Linked DNA regions of Astyanax mexicanus. The protein of the gene in region 2 binds, or shares a complex with, the protein of the main gene of each other region. Links are inferred from orthologs where the notes say so. Each region holds a gene or a part of one and is shown on either strand. Other genes may lie near its edges.

Region 1 (8,264 bases), on a different chromosome or scaffold from region 2:
GCTTGAGTTTACATACAGTGTATAAGCAATGCCAAGCTGAAACCTTATATACAGTGTCTCCTATGGGGTAAAATCTTTAGAATATTCTGAGTATGATATAGAGAGATTATAGAGAGCTTATTTGTGCATTTTTGAAGCATTTCTATTGATCAATTCATCATCCTTGATAGCATCATCTTCTACTTAAGTTAAGAAGAAGTGAAAAATAGACATACATGTTGTATGTCGTAACCATTTGCAATAATAATCACTATTATATACAAATAATATGTTATATGAATCCAAAATACAGAAGTGATGATTACAGAAATTAAAAACGCTTATTTTCTGGTGAAATGATCAATATCATGAGTCATAAGTTGGTCATTCCACTGTAGGGGCAAAGTATGTCCTCAACACGTACTAAAAGCAGGAGCAGCACTCTGGAGCACAGGCAGTTCCTCGCAGTGGACTTGTGTTCAGACAGAGTCCAGGAGGCGAAATCGACAGATCGGACTGGACTCGGCGTCTCAGCGTCAGTCGATTTAGCGGCGCGAGCTCCAGGAGCTGACAGGCTGACCCTGCCTCCCACTGACCGTAATGAGGCGCGTGGTGGTCGCTGTGGGATATGGGCCAGCCAGAACAGCCCCGGTGAGGTCGGGGTCACGACTCCCATAGCGCGCGCGTGCACGCGCTCATATCTCATTTACACTGCGGGAGAATCGATCTGCGTCTAAACGCTCACGCAGCTCCAGGTGATGTTGTTTGCTGTTCTTTGGAACGCTGATGTGCGCGCGCACGTTCAGGACAGACACACACAAACACACGCCCAAATACACGCGCGCGCGGGAGCCTTGTTTGTTTTCCTGTCTTTGCTCTGCTTTACCATAAGTCTACCATTATCATTAGTCTATCTAACTCAAACCTCGTACATCAAACATCTTTGCTCCAAAAAACTATTAAGTTTAAATAATAATTATACAAACAAAATATATATATATGGCCGCAAATTGCATTTATTGAGCTTCAAGAACATTAGTCCAATGAGTTCTCTTTTTTCCACCATTCTAGAGACACAAGTTCCCGCAAGGAGATAAATACATCCTCACCAAGCACCTACATGTACACTTACGTAGCCTCTGTATTTTCCACTTGTATTAATCCACTTTTCTTGCCAAAATTAGGCAAATTGATAATACATAGTCATAAAAAAAACACAAAACACTGAACTCTACATTTCTCAGTCTTTCTTTGCCTTCAATATCCACGTTTCCCGCCAAAATAGGGCTAATAAGACATATCCTCAAATCCTCAAACACACAACACACTTTCTGATCAGTCATTTTATTTTGTTATGCACTTATATTATTTCCCACGTTTCCCTCAAATCTTAAAACACACAAAACACTTAACACTGAACCATAAATTTGTCCCAGTCAATCTCAGCTCATCTTTCTCAGCCGTCATGCTAACTGAACAAGTGTTTGAGACACTTCAGTGAGAAGGTCCTGGAGCTCCACAATAAACCTTCACCAAAGCAGAACCTTCAGAAACATGAAGCTGAAATCTCTCAGTCAATATGAATTTGACAATGCACTACTGATCAACACTCTCTGGAGGTCACTCACATTCATGCAAAAATATACAAAGCATCATGAATATCTATCTCCTCCAGATGCGCTTCCAAGGGCACCTTTTTATTGTCTGCGGGAGACTTTTTTGCTCCACGTTTGTAACTTGCAGGCAGAATGGAGAGCGGTGAGCCTCATCTGCTTAAATAACGAGGCTCTATCTGTGAGCTGCGAGCGCTTCGTATAGTGCACATTAAAAACGCGTTGCTCCAGAGCGCGGCGCACAAGGTTAAGTGAGATAGGGCAGCGGGGGAGCAGCTTTCTACCGTTTAAATTAACTCAGGAGATGAGAACGCGATGATTGACTGGAGGAGCATTATTAAACCCTTAAATAGCTTAAAGCAATCTTGCTGTATTAAGCTTAAGTGTGAGATAACCATACAACCAAAACGACACAGCTTTAAAAAAAATTCTGTATTTTTCACTAATACAGCTGATGTTTTGGGTTGTTGTTGTTTTATTCCACAAAATTCCACAAAAGGACTCGATTAAAAAAACAACCTACAAATACAGCCACGTGAACAGCAGAATTTGTTGTACTAAAGTGCACAAAAGTGTGCGACAGCTTTTAAGGGTTTAACCTTCATGCCTTTCGCTTGGTCCGTTTTTTGGACGCATGCAGTTCCGTGCGCACCGGACTCTTAAAGGTTCTCACCACATACATAGAGATATATAGAGTGCATTAAAACAACAGAAAGCGGCGGCTATACACTGGTAAATGCACTATAAGAAGATAAGATCATATCACACTAGTTGCCCAACGCACTTTTGAACAAGGACGGTGAACGATTAAACTGTTTATCCAATCATCCAAAGTCCGCTTTCTGTGCAATTCGCGAAAACAAAAATGAGCATATGGAAACTTGATGTTGCATCATTACATGCAATAAACGTTGCTTGGGTCTCTACACAGAACATCTACCAAAGTTATGAAGGCTTGCAGCTCTCTTTAAATGCGCGTGTTGTAATTCCCTTGTTTTTTTTGTTTTTTTTCTGTCTATTTTTTGAGAAAACGTAGATTCTTGCTATACATATCTTCGTCGTAATCAGCACCATGATATGATCGACAAAAAAATAGAAAGAAAGGAATGAGTCTTTTTTTATCGCTTAAGTATTTTATCTTTAACTCTTGCACTTCTTTTCACACTTCACTTTTGTTTTTGATACAGATCTTTTAGCAACGCAATAGAATAAAAAGTATGCACATAATAAAAAAAACGTACAACACATAATGAACAAGCGCAAAAGTGCACAGAAAATGAATAGGGACCTACGTGCTCTCTTGTTCTCTTTCTCTTCTTTATTTTTCTCTCTCTCTCTCTCTCTTTCAGACTCTGTGGCTCCTCGTGCGCTCCGCGGCTTTCTCGGCGTGGTTGTGGCCGCTGGTCGGTGGCTCCGCGCGGTCACGCAGCTGCACGTCTGAGGACATGTTGCTCGAGCGGCTGCGCGGCGGAAAAGGCTGAGCGCATCTGATGCGCCGGTGCGCTCGCGGGTGGAAATAGGGTGTGAGAGAGAGAAAGACACGCGCGCATACGGAGTGAGTGAGAGAAAGAGAGAGAGGAGGAGGTGGAGAGGAGAAAAAAGGGGAGGGTAAAGGAGGGGAACACTCAGGCTCACGAGAGAGCAAGCAAAGCCCCTGCCAAAGATTTTTTTTTCTTCCAGCACCGAGGCGCAATCACCTGCTCTAAATCACATCTTCACATCTAATAATCTGAAGAGCCTCGACCTTCAGCCCTGAGGGAGCGGCAACAGGCTGGAAAGCGCTCCCTGCGGCTCCTGTTGGACGCACGTTTGAAGTGCTTATCTCATAACAGCGAGCCGCACACCCCTGTAGCTTCCAGTACCAACCCCGGAGCAGCTCGTGCAACCTGAAGAAGCAGCTGCCGCTGTTCGGCCCTGTGCCGCTGCTGCCCCTTTTTAAATAACTGTTACATGGGTTTCAGCACCGCGGACAGCGCGCGCACAGGCGCTCAAGCAGCGAATCAATAGTGAAGCATCATCATCACCATCACCACTATCATCATCCAGAGCTGCGGGACTGGCAGCGGGATTAAAATGATTTCGGCTCAGCATGTCGCGAAAACGAAAGAACGAAACGCGGCGCGCATGCTGATAGGTTTGTTTAACCGCTGGAAACAAGAAAGAGTAAAAAAAACATTCATTCAGCACCACCAAAACTGAACAGCGCACCAACATCAACTCTGTAATCAAACACAAACCAGTTAAACCAGTTCTCAATCAACCCAAAACTCCACAGAGGTCTATTTAAACATCTTGAATCGCGATTAAGCTATTTTTATTACCATAGTGTGAACAGAGTACTTGTAGAGCCGAATGCGGTTTTGAGATTTTCAGACTGGTGATCTGGTGGACCGAGCGTTCTACTGACATCTACTGGGGGAGATCCTCGATTCTTTCTCTCTCTCTCTCTCTCTCTCTCTCTCTCTCTCTCTCTCTCTCTCTCCCTCTCTCTCTCTCTCTGTCTCTCGCTCTCTATGTGTATGTATTTTCACACACATCATTAAAACCGTTTGGGCCCCAGCGTAAAAAATATATATTTTGAATGTTACCCTCTCTTTTATTTTAACTATTATGAACTATTTATAGAAGACAGTCAAACATTTCAGATATTGTTATTTTCTGCCGTTTAAATTAATTCAGGAGATGAGAAAGCAATGATTATCTGGAGAACCCTTAAGCACTCTTAAGAGAAAACCATACCGCCAAAACTGATCTGTTTGTGACAAGTGTTTTTTGTCTATTACAGCTGCTGTTTTTGAGTTGTTGTTTTATTCACTACAAAATAAATCAAATAAAAGGCAAGTTACAAATTACAGCCATGTAAGCAGCAGAATTTTGACGCTAAAGGACGCTAAAGCAGTTTTAACATTGAGGCCGTGAATATAAGGGTGAGAGGGTGAGAAAGTCAATCTTTTTTTCCATAGCAACAAAATCTGCTTTTTTTTTCATTTGAAACTTATGGAGGCTTGATGTTGCATCATTACATGCAGTTAACTAATTGGTTGGGTCTCTACGCAGAAGTTGTAGTTGTTGTATTTACCATATATTTTTCTAGCTGTCTGTGAAAACTGTTGCTATTTTCTTCTTATCTTTGTTGATTATTGGAAAAAATTGGCACTTCTTTCTCATATCTTATATTAAGTAATGTTTACAAAAGCAACACTATAGAGTCAGCAATTGTTATTTTCAGGAGATCCTAGACTTTTCATGCCTTATTTTATTCACATGTTGACAGTTTGCACTGATATTGACTACTCAAATATATATTTAATTGTTAAGATGTAAATATCTACAGAATTTAAATACCTGTGTGAATTTTACCATGTTTTGATCAAGAGGAGCACCTGTTTTTAAACATTTTTCACAATGGATTTCTTACAGATGCTTTATCAGATAAGAACACACTACTTTCAGAAATGGTGGGTTCTGCTTTGTAAAGATATGCCCTGAATCACTGTTATATACGATTAAAATGAGATTTAACTTGAAGAGACAGTCCCTGAACTTTGAAGGAATAGTCCTGAATTTAAAGGAGTGCCTATTTGTTGGGTCATTGTCCTGATGGAAGACCCATGAGCAAGGATGCAAACTCAGCTTCCTGACACTGGGCCCTACAATCCATAGTTACCCAAAATCCCTTGGCAATCTTCAATGCCAGAGGTAGAAAAAAACAACTCAAACACATATTTGAACCTCCACCATATTCATCATTATTTCAAACTTTGAAGGGATAGTCCCTGTACTTTGAAGGAATGTCTATTTTCTGGGTGTTTCACAAAGGATTTCTCACAGACTCTTCATGAAATGGCGATGATGCTACTATTTCTAGAAACTGTATGTTCTCCTCTTTCTAACCATGTATAGATTGTGCTGGTGTGTTAAGGAATTTGTGATTAATTAATTCCTGAGGAGACAAGGTGTGATTTTGGACTATATAGGAATCCGTCAGGCTCTAAAATAGTTGCACCCAGAAATAAGTCTCAGTTAGCAAAGCTATTCTTCTGGAAGATAAAGGTTACCACAGAAAATACGCGATAAAAACCCGTCACCATGGTCTGCATGTACAGTATGTAGTCCTGGGTTGTGCATATAGGACTACTGTGTAGGTAGTGAAGGGGATTGATTGATTGATTAAATATTTATTCAGCTGTTTTTAACACTTACACAGAATAAAGCCTAATAAGCAGTGGCGGCAGGGTGGCTTAGTGGTTAGCACGTTCGCCTCCCAGCACTGTGGTCCTGGGTTCAAATCCCTATCTGGGTGGAGTTCCCATGTTCTTCCTGTGTCTGTGTGGGCTTCCTCCGGGGACTCCAGTTTCCTCTTATAGTCCAAAACCATGGAGATCATGTAAATTGGATATTCTAAATTGCCCAGAAAAATAGAATACTCTAATTTGATCTGGTAAATTGAATACTCTAAATTGATCTGGTGTGTATGTGTAAAGTGTGTGGTATGTATGTAAGTTTGTGTGTGTGTGTAAATGTATGTATGACTGTAAAGATGTTCGCCCACTTAAAAGTTTTTTTTGGGGATTTACGTGAAGCAAATGACCAGAACCCCGAGTGTGCTGTGGAACAGGAGATAAGAGTCAGATTTCCAAGTGCACGGTGATTTATTAATTCTTTACACCAAAAACACAAACAAAAACTGATACAAACGAAAGAAAACGGTAAGTATATACACAAATATTTACATGAGGGAAGCCGCAAGGCCAATCCTCCTTAAGTGGCTAGCAGACGCAGTATAATGACACCAGACAGAGCTTTCGTACCCCGGGAGAGTTTTCTTAGAACCGAGCACCCCAGCCGGCATTTTCACATTAAGCCCCACCCCGATCATACCAACAAAGCCCTTAAGGGGAGGCTACCCATTAAACGTAAAACATAAAACGAACAAAAACAATTACACAAATAGCGCTATTTAACATTTTCACAGATGATGACTAAACAGGTAAGTGATCACTATTTTTTTTTACACAAACATTAATTAATTATTTTCCTTTTACAGGCAAACAAGAATGTCCGCAACCTCTCCCTTCCTGCAGGTGGATCCGTCCTACCAGAAGAAGAAGCACCGGTCCCCTTTTCTTCCCTTTTGCCCCTCAGACCCTCTACACAGCAGGACTGAGGTACATTACATAAGTACATTTAATAAATGGTAATGGGCTACCTTGCCACATCACAATGACTGTGCCCAGATATAAATTGGCACTCTGTCCTGGCTCAATGCTGTAGTGCCCGATGCAGTCCTCCAGGTGGACGGTGGATGGTTTCCGGTTGAGAGTACGCTGTGCGCTATTGGCTGCCGCTTCTCACCGGTGTGTTCTTGGGTTTCTAGAAAGGCACTATATAAGTTGAACTTCATTCATTCATTCATAAATCATTTACAAATGTCTAATTAAGGCTTTATTAAGCAAATGATAAGACATTAATAAGCTAATTTGTGTTATGTAAAATAAAGTGTTGTCTTTGACTAATATTTACATTAGTTCGGTGGTCTAAAGCATTTAAGCGTGAAAAACATGCAGAAAACAAACAAAAGCATTTGGGGGGCAAAAACTTTTTTTCACATCACTGTATGTCACTGGCTGGTTTGGTGTCATTATTGGTAGGCGGTGTCTCATAGTCTCGTGCTCAAATTGGAGCTGGGCTCCGGAGGAGGAGCGTAAATCGCTGCTGTCAATTAACGGCTGTGTGAGCAGCAATGCAGCTCTGGGTTCTGGACGTACACACATGCATTAGGGCTGGATGCTGTCATGCTCAGGCCGGCCAAACAGGCTAAATTAGTGTGAAATGCAGATATATAGAGCAGCTGCAGCCCCACAATACGGCCGGGGAGCTAATTACACTGAGAGGAGCGAAAACTCGCATTGTTTCTGTCCACTCATTGTTTGCCCCTATTTACATATGCTGCATTGTCTGTTAAGTGAGGCGCGAATATAAAGCAAGGCCACACTCTACTCTGAGAGAACAAGAGACGAGAGTAAGGAAAAGGGGGGGTGGAGGGAGTTGTGTATTAGACAGTGATATAATGGAAGTGGGAGGGAGAACAGGCGTACGATATCTCTGCACATACAGTACTACAGTTATACGCTTCTTTACAAAAACACATGTAATTGCACATGCGGACGCATGTAATGAGATGCAGGGAGAACAGTGGGGTATTTTTTGCGTATATTGCAGCACAATTGCAGACTGTGGGCTTGAGTGTTTCTCAATTAGCATCTAATGGGCAAAACACACTGGGTTCTATTAATGGAAGCTCATAAATCACACTGCCCAGCGCACACAGACGCGTATACGCCACATCCGTACTCCCTACAGAAATGAACCTCCTTTAACATACACACAGCCTGTCACAGCACACCTGCCTAGTGCCTCCTTACTCTGCTCCCTATATCACCCTAGAGGAGAATCCCACACAAACACGCAGATGATTGGTTGCTGGGGAGGATGAGAAGAGGAAGAAGAAGAAGGTATTTCCTGTCATGCATAAGTTGTTGTAAGCATTTGCTTTTTTTTAAAGTAAGTTTAATTTTAGATCAATTGAAGCAATTTGGTTTCAAGACTTAAATGTTAGATAGAGTAAATAAGCGAACTGAACTTCAATCCTTTCTTTTAGTAAACTTTACT
Region 2 (8,326 bases):
GATAGATAGATAAAATTGACAGATAAGACAATTTAGAACTAAACAGACAGACAGATAGATGGGGCAAGATACATAGACGGACAGAGAAGCAGACAGGCAGACAGCCTGACAGACAGGTAGACAAACAGCGCGCCGGAAGGAAAATCCACTCCGTGCTTTTCTCGAACCGCTCCAATTCCGGAAAGTGCCGAGCGGAGCCGATCAGAGCCGAGCGTTGGCCTCTGCTGGGCGCTGTCCACCACCGACAGCGCCTGAAATCCTCACACTCAGTAAAGCGGCATAAAGCACAGGAGCAGCATCACACAACACACCCGAATCACAAACACACACACCAAACACCTAACACACATACACACACAGGGGGGAGCGCTGAAACACGGGTATAAAACGCCCCCGTTTGTCGCGGTCTAGAGGGATTCAGATCCGAGTGGAAAATGGTAGGTTTATCTTAACACTCGAGACTCGGGGCAGAGCGCTAAGCCGAGCCGCTATATCCGCACAATCACAGCACCCTAAACATCTACCAGCCAGACATCTGAACACAACGATACACTGCCGCGATCTGACCGTCCACCTTCCAGCTCACTGCGCTACACAGGATTTATAATGTGCACTGGACACGCCACGGTAATGCAGCAGCAGCACAGCATTAACAGGCCCGTATATGACAGAGAAAAAGAGCACGACTGGACGGCTCTTCTGTATATATAAAGAGCTGGGGGCTAGTGCACTGTACACGCACAAAACGCGATCTGTGCGGGGCTCAGTTTGGGTGTGATAGCTGCGTGAAAAATAAAAATGGCCGAGTGAACACCAAGTTAGGGTGTTAGCTAGCTACCATCCCCCTCCCACCTCCACCGCCCCCCAGCCTTGCCACCACCTCCCCACCCCCATTTCTCTCTGTGTGTGCATGATTCGCTCAAATCATAGCTAACGCTACATAACCCACAACCCACAATCACTAGAAGGCCTGCTGCTGTACGGTTCACCTTGAATATGGAAGCCAATCATAGCAACTATACATAGATAACGTTACACAGAATTATGATGAGGATCTTGTCAATTACATACCACAGTGAGTTCTGCTCCAATTAAACTAACGTTAAATGAGAGCAAAACTGTAATAATGCAATGTACAGTCAGAAAGGGCTTTAGGCTGTTGAATACACAAGCTAATGCATCAAAAATAGTAGTTAACCTAGCTAGGATAAATCTCAGCAATAGACTAGCTAGCAAGCTAACTAGCTAAGAAGCCTCTCTGTGTGATATCAGGCTACAGAACGAGGCACACGCACACACACCTACCCACCCTGTCTTTTACACAAAACGCAAAAAGCTTAAACATGACGAGAAAGGCATGGCCATATAGCTAATTAGCTAGCTAAAATGTACATCATTTAAATGAACTTCTAGCTAGTAAGCTAACTAGCTAGGTCAGCTAGGTTAGGTTAGCTAACCTAGCTAACCTATCTAGCTACCCACCCTGTATTTTACATAAAACGCAAAAAGCTTGAAAAGGAACAGAAAGACATGGCCATATAGCTAACCTAGTCAGCTAAAGTGTACAAATACTAGCTCCTAGCTAGTAGAATAGTTTAGCTAACCTAGCTAAGCTAGCGTTTGTACAGCAGAATGGTGTGGCCCCGAGATAATAATGTACAGGCTGCAGTAGTTACATAGTTAGCTAAAGGGATGGACAATTATTTAATATCAACATACATATAAAGAAAATGTGTCAATAATGGTGGTATGATGATTTTAAATAACTAGATTAGCTAGCTACATGTCTAGCATTTTAATATATAGGGTTAAGCTATCGTTGGATAATTTACTGCATCTGTCACTGACGTTCATTAACTACAGAAATAGGCAAATCCATTTTTCATGAGTTCACAGGTTCCATAGCTAGCTAACGTTACGTTTTATGTATTTGTTTTCTGTGGCTTTTAACTGCTTGTATAGACTGAAATGTTGTCACTCATTGAGACCAAAGACAAAAATTTGGCCATATCGCCCAACCCTAACTCTGTTGGTTACAGTGAGTGAGAGCGGCTCGGCTTCAGCACCATGTTATACCGAACAGCACGACCGACCGCAGCCAGGCAGGCGTTTCCTCCCCCCAAACCGAGCCGAGCAGGCGCGTCGATCGGTTAGCTAACTAGCTAGTTAACCTAGTACATACAGTGAATGTGTGACATTCTTCATAATATGGCGGACCTTAGCTAGCTAACCTAGGCAAGCTACTAAAAAATGTTTGCGTGCATGTAGGCTAGCTAACTAGCTTTTTTTTGCGTGACTGTGTGTGTATATGCTTGTGTGTGCGCGCGCATGCTCGCGTCCAAGACACACACACTTTAAAAACCGAGAAATCTGATTTACACCATGGCACTTACTTCATTTGTTTCACGATGGTGCTTTTACCAGACTCCCCAGCTCCTGTAAGACACAAGAGACAGGAGGGAATCAGGACTGTAGTTATATGGTAATATTATAAAAAAAAAAAAACATGAAATCAGGATAAATCCTAAAATTATAAACGTGTAGCCGCATATAGAGAACGATATGTAACTTAGCTAGGTGAGGTTAATTATGTTAACGTCAGATTGATCTCTGAGCAAAGACTAAAGATTAGAGACTAGGTCCACTCCCTCCCACCCTCCCACCCATCCATCCACCCAGTAAAGAGGGAGAAAAGAGAAGGTGCGTTAACCAGCCTTACCCAGCAGCAGCAGTTTGACATCCTTGGCCGCAGTGATTCCATCCTCTTTCAGGTTTTTCTCGATGGCTTTGCTCCTATCCAGAGCCGCTCTCTCTTCGGCGCTCAGTGTACATCCCATGACTAGGCGGACCGCAGGCTCTTTCTTTCAGCTCCGAAACCGGCGAGAAGCGACGTGCGAGGGGGGGAAGCGAGCGAGCACTCCGTGGTTTATTTTTTATTTCACCTCGAGATTTCTTCCCTATCTATCTCCTCTACCTTTCTCTCCTAGCGCTCTCTCTCTCTCTCTTTCTCTCTCTTTCTCTCCCTCTTTCTCTCTCTCTCACTCACACTCTCTCTTTCACTCGCTCACTCACAACGACGGCTCTAGCTATAGCATTAAAAGAAGCAGAAAAATCCCGCAAAACGACACGAAGACACGCAGCCTGGTGGAGATAACCTAACCTAGCTGTATAAGGAGCTGCTTCTGCTGCTGCTGTAGGTGAACCGGCTCGGCTCTCCGTCTCTCTTGGTCGTGTCGGTGGTTCCTCGGGCGGAGGGGGAGCGGTGGAGGGGAGGGGGTCTATCTATCTAGCTCTATCTGTCCTTTTCTACTGGGCGGCGGCGGCAGCAGCGGCGGTAGTGGCGGTGGAGGCGGAGGCGAAGACGGCGACGGCTGCTAGCATCGTTTAGCTCTGCTCACAATGGAGGGTCAGCGAGGAGAGAGAGAGAGCGCGCGAGCGAGAGAGCGAGCGGGAGCGCGCGCGCCGAGCACGTTAGTTACGTGTTTTTTTTTTGTTTTTTTTTTAACCTCCCCTTGCTTTTTCCCGCCCGTTTTCCGACAAGCCCCGCCTCCCCCGTGCTGTGATTGGACAGCGGTTTAAGCGTCGGGATTGGCTGGTCTTTCTTTCACACTAATATGTATAGCTGAGCCAGGCTTTGACATTTGCTTGTCAGAGCAGACAGCCAATCGTATAGCTCAGAAAACCGAGAAGAATAACCAATCAGAAAAAGGCAAAGGATAGAGCGAGAAAAATGAAAAACGAAAACAGGTGGGAAACGAAAAAACCGTATCCTCCACAGTGACGTCAGAACTGAAGAGCGAGCGCGAGCAGCATCCCCGTTCGTTAAATAAACGCTAAGCTAAAAATCCTGCACCAAGGTTTTCTTCTGTACAAAGATACAGAAGAAGAAAAAATTAGCCCCTCAAGCCCCACAGATTCGCAGTAAGGAGCATTGTGTTCACTAGCTGGTCACTAAATCAACGCGTTTGACCGATTTAGAGCGAAAGAGCGACTGAGAGGAAGAGAGGAATCACGACAAGGTGTGGCCAACAGCAGAGCTAATGCTAATGACCTGCAAAATCAACACACGAAACAAACAAATAAATAAATAAATCCGAGCAAAAGCGTCAAATTCAACAGCTGGCCATCTTGCCTTCGTCACATCCTCCCTCCACTCTCATGTGAGGCAGCGTTTAAATGTCAGCATGCTTTCTGAAATACAGACACTTCAGCTGTGGTGGTGAAAGTGAAACAGCTTATAGTAATAAAAGAACGAATATGTATGTATTATTTTACAGGACTCAGACACACAGTTTGCAGACAATTAGGTGAAGTTAGTTTAAAGGACCAATATGTAGTATTTGTATTTTCACCACTAACCCAATAAATTATATCTGTGGCATCACATGTTAAGGAAAAAATCCTTAAAGTTAAATCACTGGCCTATCTTTACAGCAGTGCTTTAGCTTGGTTCGATAATCTATTCTTTGCTGAATTGTCCAAGATAAAATTGAAATCTGTTTCTTTTTCTGATGCAGATATTATCTTATGTACAAGTGTTTACTCCTGTGGCTTTAAAACCCACAGACTTCTTTTCCATTTCAGCTGAAGCACCAAAACAACACAGTCTGTCTGTAGCTTTGCAGTACTGTTTTAAAAAATATCTGAATTTGTGTGGACAGGCCTTGTCTGTGGGGACTATTACTTGTACAAAGTCCTGCATATATTTGTCCAATATTTTAATTAAATCAAATTTAAAGTATTTCACACGTTTCACATCCACAATCTTGTTAAAACTCAGGCAAAACAGTGTCTCAGGCAAACATAGATTTTTTAGAGGTACACTTAAAATAGAGGGATGTAAAATCGACTGTAACCACTATATTAACCATCATTGCTTAATGTGTAGTTTGAGTGTTGTATGGGCATTTTCTTTATAACATTCATAAACTATTGCTAATAGTTTGTCTCATTTGCTATCTAGCTAAATTTTCTTTTTCAACATAAATGGTGCAACAGATGACAGGGGCTACAGCATTTAAGATGGAAATAGGGAAAGAAAAGCAAATAAAAACTAATTACAGGGGAAGGGGAGGAGTTACACTTAGAAACAGGGGCTAGGGGTACATATTAGAAATTGGATTGGGCCACAGTGTGCTGCTGCCTCTATGCAAGTAAAAATTGGCATAACGTTGGAAACTTTGGACACTTTAAGGGTTTACATTAGCAAATAAACTTACACAGTACAACTGATTTTGTTTGTTAATCGGGTGCATCTAAAAAAAATTATATAATCAAAAACTTAAACAAATTCAACAATTTAGAGCAGCACTTCATGCTTTCCTCCAATGACAAGCTTTATAGAGATGCAGCTTTCATTTCCCAACAGGACAAGAAAAGCTCAAATACCTCCAGGTCAGTTCCAACACCAAAGCTATTTTAATAAATGTTCACAATTGACAAAAAAAATCTGGGGTCAAATATAGTCCATAAATATAGCACTCTGCTAACTAGTAAACGCTTGCCCCTTAAATATCAGTCCCAAACACAAAATTGATCCTGACTCTCAGCACTACAGTAAGGTCTGTAAAGCCCCCAACAGTTTGACTGGCTCACAACAGCTTCAATTTGGTAGATTCTTCTACAGGTGACTCTACCTGCCCTTTAAACCTGTAGCCCCGCCTCTTCTCTAATTAGACCATACCAATGTTACAGGTAGGGGTAACTGTAAAGTATACACACATACATACATACACACACACACACACATATTAATGTCAGCATTATTTACAGCTGTACATACTTTAAGACATGTCTCTGAATGGTAAGCATTATCACATATTTTTTGTACCTTTAACTCTAACTTAAATCTTTTCATTCCCACAGGTGTTCCAGAAAGGAGTTCCCTCCCATCCTGTAGTAAATCCGGACCCCCGAAGAATCTTCAAGAACCGGAGCTAAATGGCCGCCATTTCCTTAGGAATCCCCAAGGATAACCAGATGCACCTGTAGCAAGGTTCTTACACCACAATCTGGGGAGGAGGCGGTGGGACAGACAGCTCCCTCCAATAAATTAAAATCAGCCTAAGGTACTTTTTTTTTTTTTTTTTTTTTTTTTTTTTTTAGCATTTTGCATGCTTGCTGTAGTTAAGTACATATTGTTCATTTAAATGTCAGCCTGCTTTTTGGAATCAAGCCAGTTCTGCAGTGTAGAAAGTGAAACATCTAAAAACATATCTGCAATGAATGTTTCACATGACCCAGTTACACAGTTTGCAGATAATGAGTGAAAGAAAGGTTAAAATAAACATTTGACACCCTGATTCAGAGCAAAAGCTGAATGCAGTTCAGAAGAATAGGAAACTTTGGTTAATCACCTCACATTACGCTGAACGTTTCACATTGTACTGGCCCTGACACCCACATTAAACACCTGACTGCTAACTGCTGACTGCTTATTAAGTTTTCAGGGCCTTTCTGGAGCGAGGTATTCCGTTTTTGCAAGACACTGCAATAAAAGTGATGAAATTACTAAAACGAAGATCATTATTTTTCTGTCGTTTGCAAACCTTGCTAAAAACATCAAAATGACTGATTGGTGAGGTTATTCGGTCCAGACAATGACAAACATTTGAATGCAATTAATAAAATGGATCCATATGAGTTGTCTCTGTGATCCAGCCTGGCTTCCTATGAATAAGAATAAACAGTACATCAGTGTTTTCCATTTCTGGACTTTAATAGATATTTAATAGAGCAGGATTTTTCTTTGTTTAGCCAGATAACTTAAGTTCAAAGTTAAGCCCAATAAGTTTGTACCCAGAATCTGCACAGCAGAGACCAAAGACGGTTCTAGACTCACCTCCTTAATTGTTAGATCCCCACACTTCTCACAGAACAGGTGTTCTAGGGCCAATTCCATTTTGCCCCTTCTCTCTACCAATTAGCCCAAAAAAATGCAAATACCTCACTTCAGTTCTTTGTCACCAAGAGCTTTAAAAAAGAGTGGATGAGAAAGAATAATTCTTCAGCATTCAGCTTCACCTCTCAAAATGTGTACAGGTTTGGGTGTTCTCAAATCGTCCCCTTAAGTATCACTTCATGATTAATGTACTTTATATACTGCTATCCCAATATTCTTTATATGCTTTTGGAATGTCAGGCATATACTTTTTATTTTAGACCAAAACAAGTATGTCAGCCAGTCAAGTATGTTACCACTCAAGACTTTTAATCTTCACTTTATATAAAAGTGAGGAATAAAGTGGTGGCCCAATCATTGGGAGATTTTGAGTACAGTCTCCTCTAAGTGTGATCAGCATTCCAATTACAATGTGTTAGCCATAGTTTGAGAATATGAACATTAATAGGCTGACTTCACGTGCCTTAGAGGAGGTGATGATAGCATCATGATAGAATCATGTGATCAGGAAAGTCCATGCTGGTGTAAAAACCTGACGATGATGAAATCTGGGGGAAAATCCGGGAGAAATCTCTTTACTCTGACTGAAAGTAGACAATGCAAAGGCATCCTGCACTGTACAAAACCATAGGCTTAAAAGTATGAATCTTATATTCACAGTAAAACCGCCAAAATAGGTTGTATGTCTTTGTGCTCATTTCTTTATGGCAATGAATAAATATATACTGTATGTTAAAAGCAGTATATTATGGGTCCAGATTGAGGCCTCAGTTAAATGGCGTTAAAATTAGCAGTTTTTTGAAAGAGGTGCATATTTGCCCTTTCCACAGAAATGCAGTAACAGTCTAAATTTATTTTAAAATAAAAGAAAATTATAGTATAACCTGCTGAGGCCTTTTAATTCCTTTATTTATTTCCCCTTCAAACACAGGAAGTGGTACATAATTTTTGTTTAAAGCTGACTGGTGGAAACCCCCAATTCTTTTTTAAAAAATCATGTGTTAGGCTACATGCTGAGCATGTTTACATACACTGAGGACAACTGCTTAGATGCTTAACAGATTTGGATACATAAAACTCTAAATTAGGCCAAAGGTTTGGAAGCAAACCTAGTCAGAGTGGAGAGGAGAGGGGAGTGTGTATATGTGTGTGTGAGATGATTGAATTTAGCAGTGGATCTCCACCCACGCTCCATTACAAAGCAGTCAGCCTGAGCTTGTACTTTGACAGATAATGCCCATCAGCATGCATCTAAACTGTGTACAGCACTTACACAAACACACACACACACAGTCCTGTGCATATTTAAATATTCCTCAAATTTCATAGCCTTCATATCCATCTGAAGTGCAGCTAAATAGGGAGACTACAGCCTGCAGCGTGCATTGTTTTTTAGACTGAAGTGAGTCTGACCGTGTTGAGCGA

Evidence for each region. Proteins that work in one complex are often made in the same cells at the same time.
Region 1: the proteins of gnao1a (region 2) and chrm2a are in contact, whole or in part, in a cryo-EM structure (PDB 7T8X), measured with the Homo sapiens proteins. The link is inferred for Astyanax mexicanus from reciprocal best matches to the Homo sapiens genes GNAO1 and CHRM2. Residues at the interface, in NP_066268.1 of Homo sapiens: Lys24, Ile28, Ala31, Lys32, Leu195, Tyr320, Asp337, Ala338, Thr340, Asp341, Ile343, Ala345, Asn347, Leu348, Gly350, Cys351, Gly352, Leu353, Tyr354; in NP_000730.1 of Homo sapiens: Asn58, Arg121, Cys124, Val125, Pro128, Leu129, Thr130, Pro132, Val133, Lys134, Thr136, Ile209, Ser213, Lys214, Ser215, Arg216, Ile217, Arg381, Lys384, Val385, Thr388, Ile389, Cys443.

What each region holds. Positions count from the first base shown.
Region 1 is NC_064409.1:45,373,376-45,381,639, reverse strand, and holds the start of chrm2a (muscarinic acetylcholine receptor M2a), read right to left. Parts: upstream 3,209-8,264; 5' UTR 2,885-3,208; intron 1-2,884. UniProt on the Homo sapiens protein: The muscarinic acetylcholine receptor mediates various cellular responses, including inhibition of adenylate cyclase, breakdown of phosphoinositides and modulation of potassium channels through the action of G proteins.
Region 2 is NC_064416.1:26,264,277-26,272,602, reverse strand, and holds the start of gnao1a (guanine nucleotide binding protein (G protein), alpha activating activity polypeptide O, a), read right to left. Parts: upstream 3,357-8,326; 5' UTR 2,838-3,356; coding exon 2,720-2,837; intron 2,437-2,719; coding exon 2,394-2,436; intron 1-2,393. UniProt on the Homo sapiens protein: Guanine nucleotide-binding proteins (G proteins) function as transducers downstream of G protein-coupled receptors (GPCRs) in numerous signaling cascades.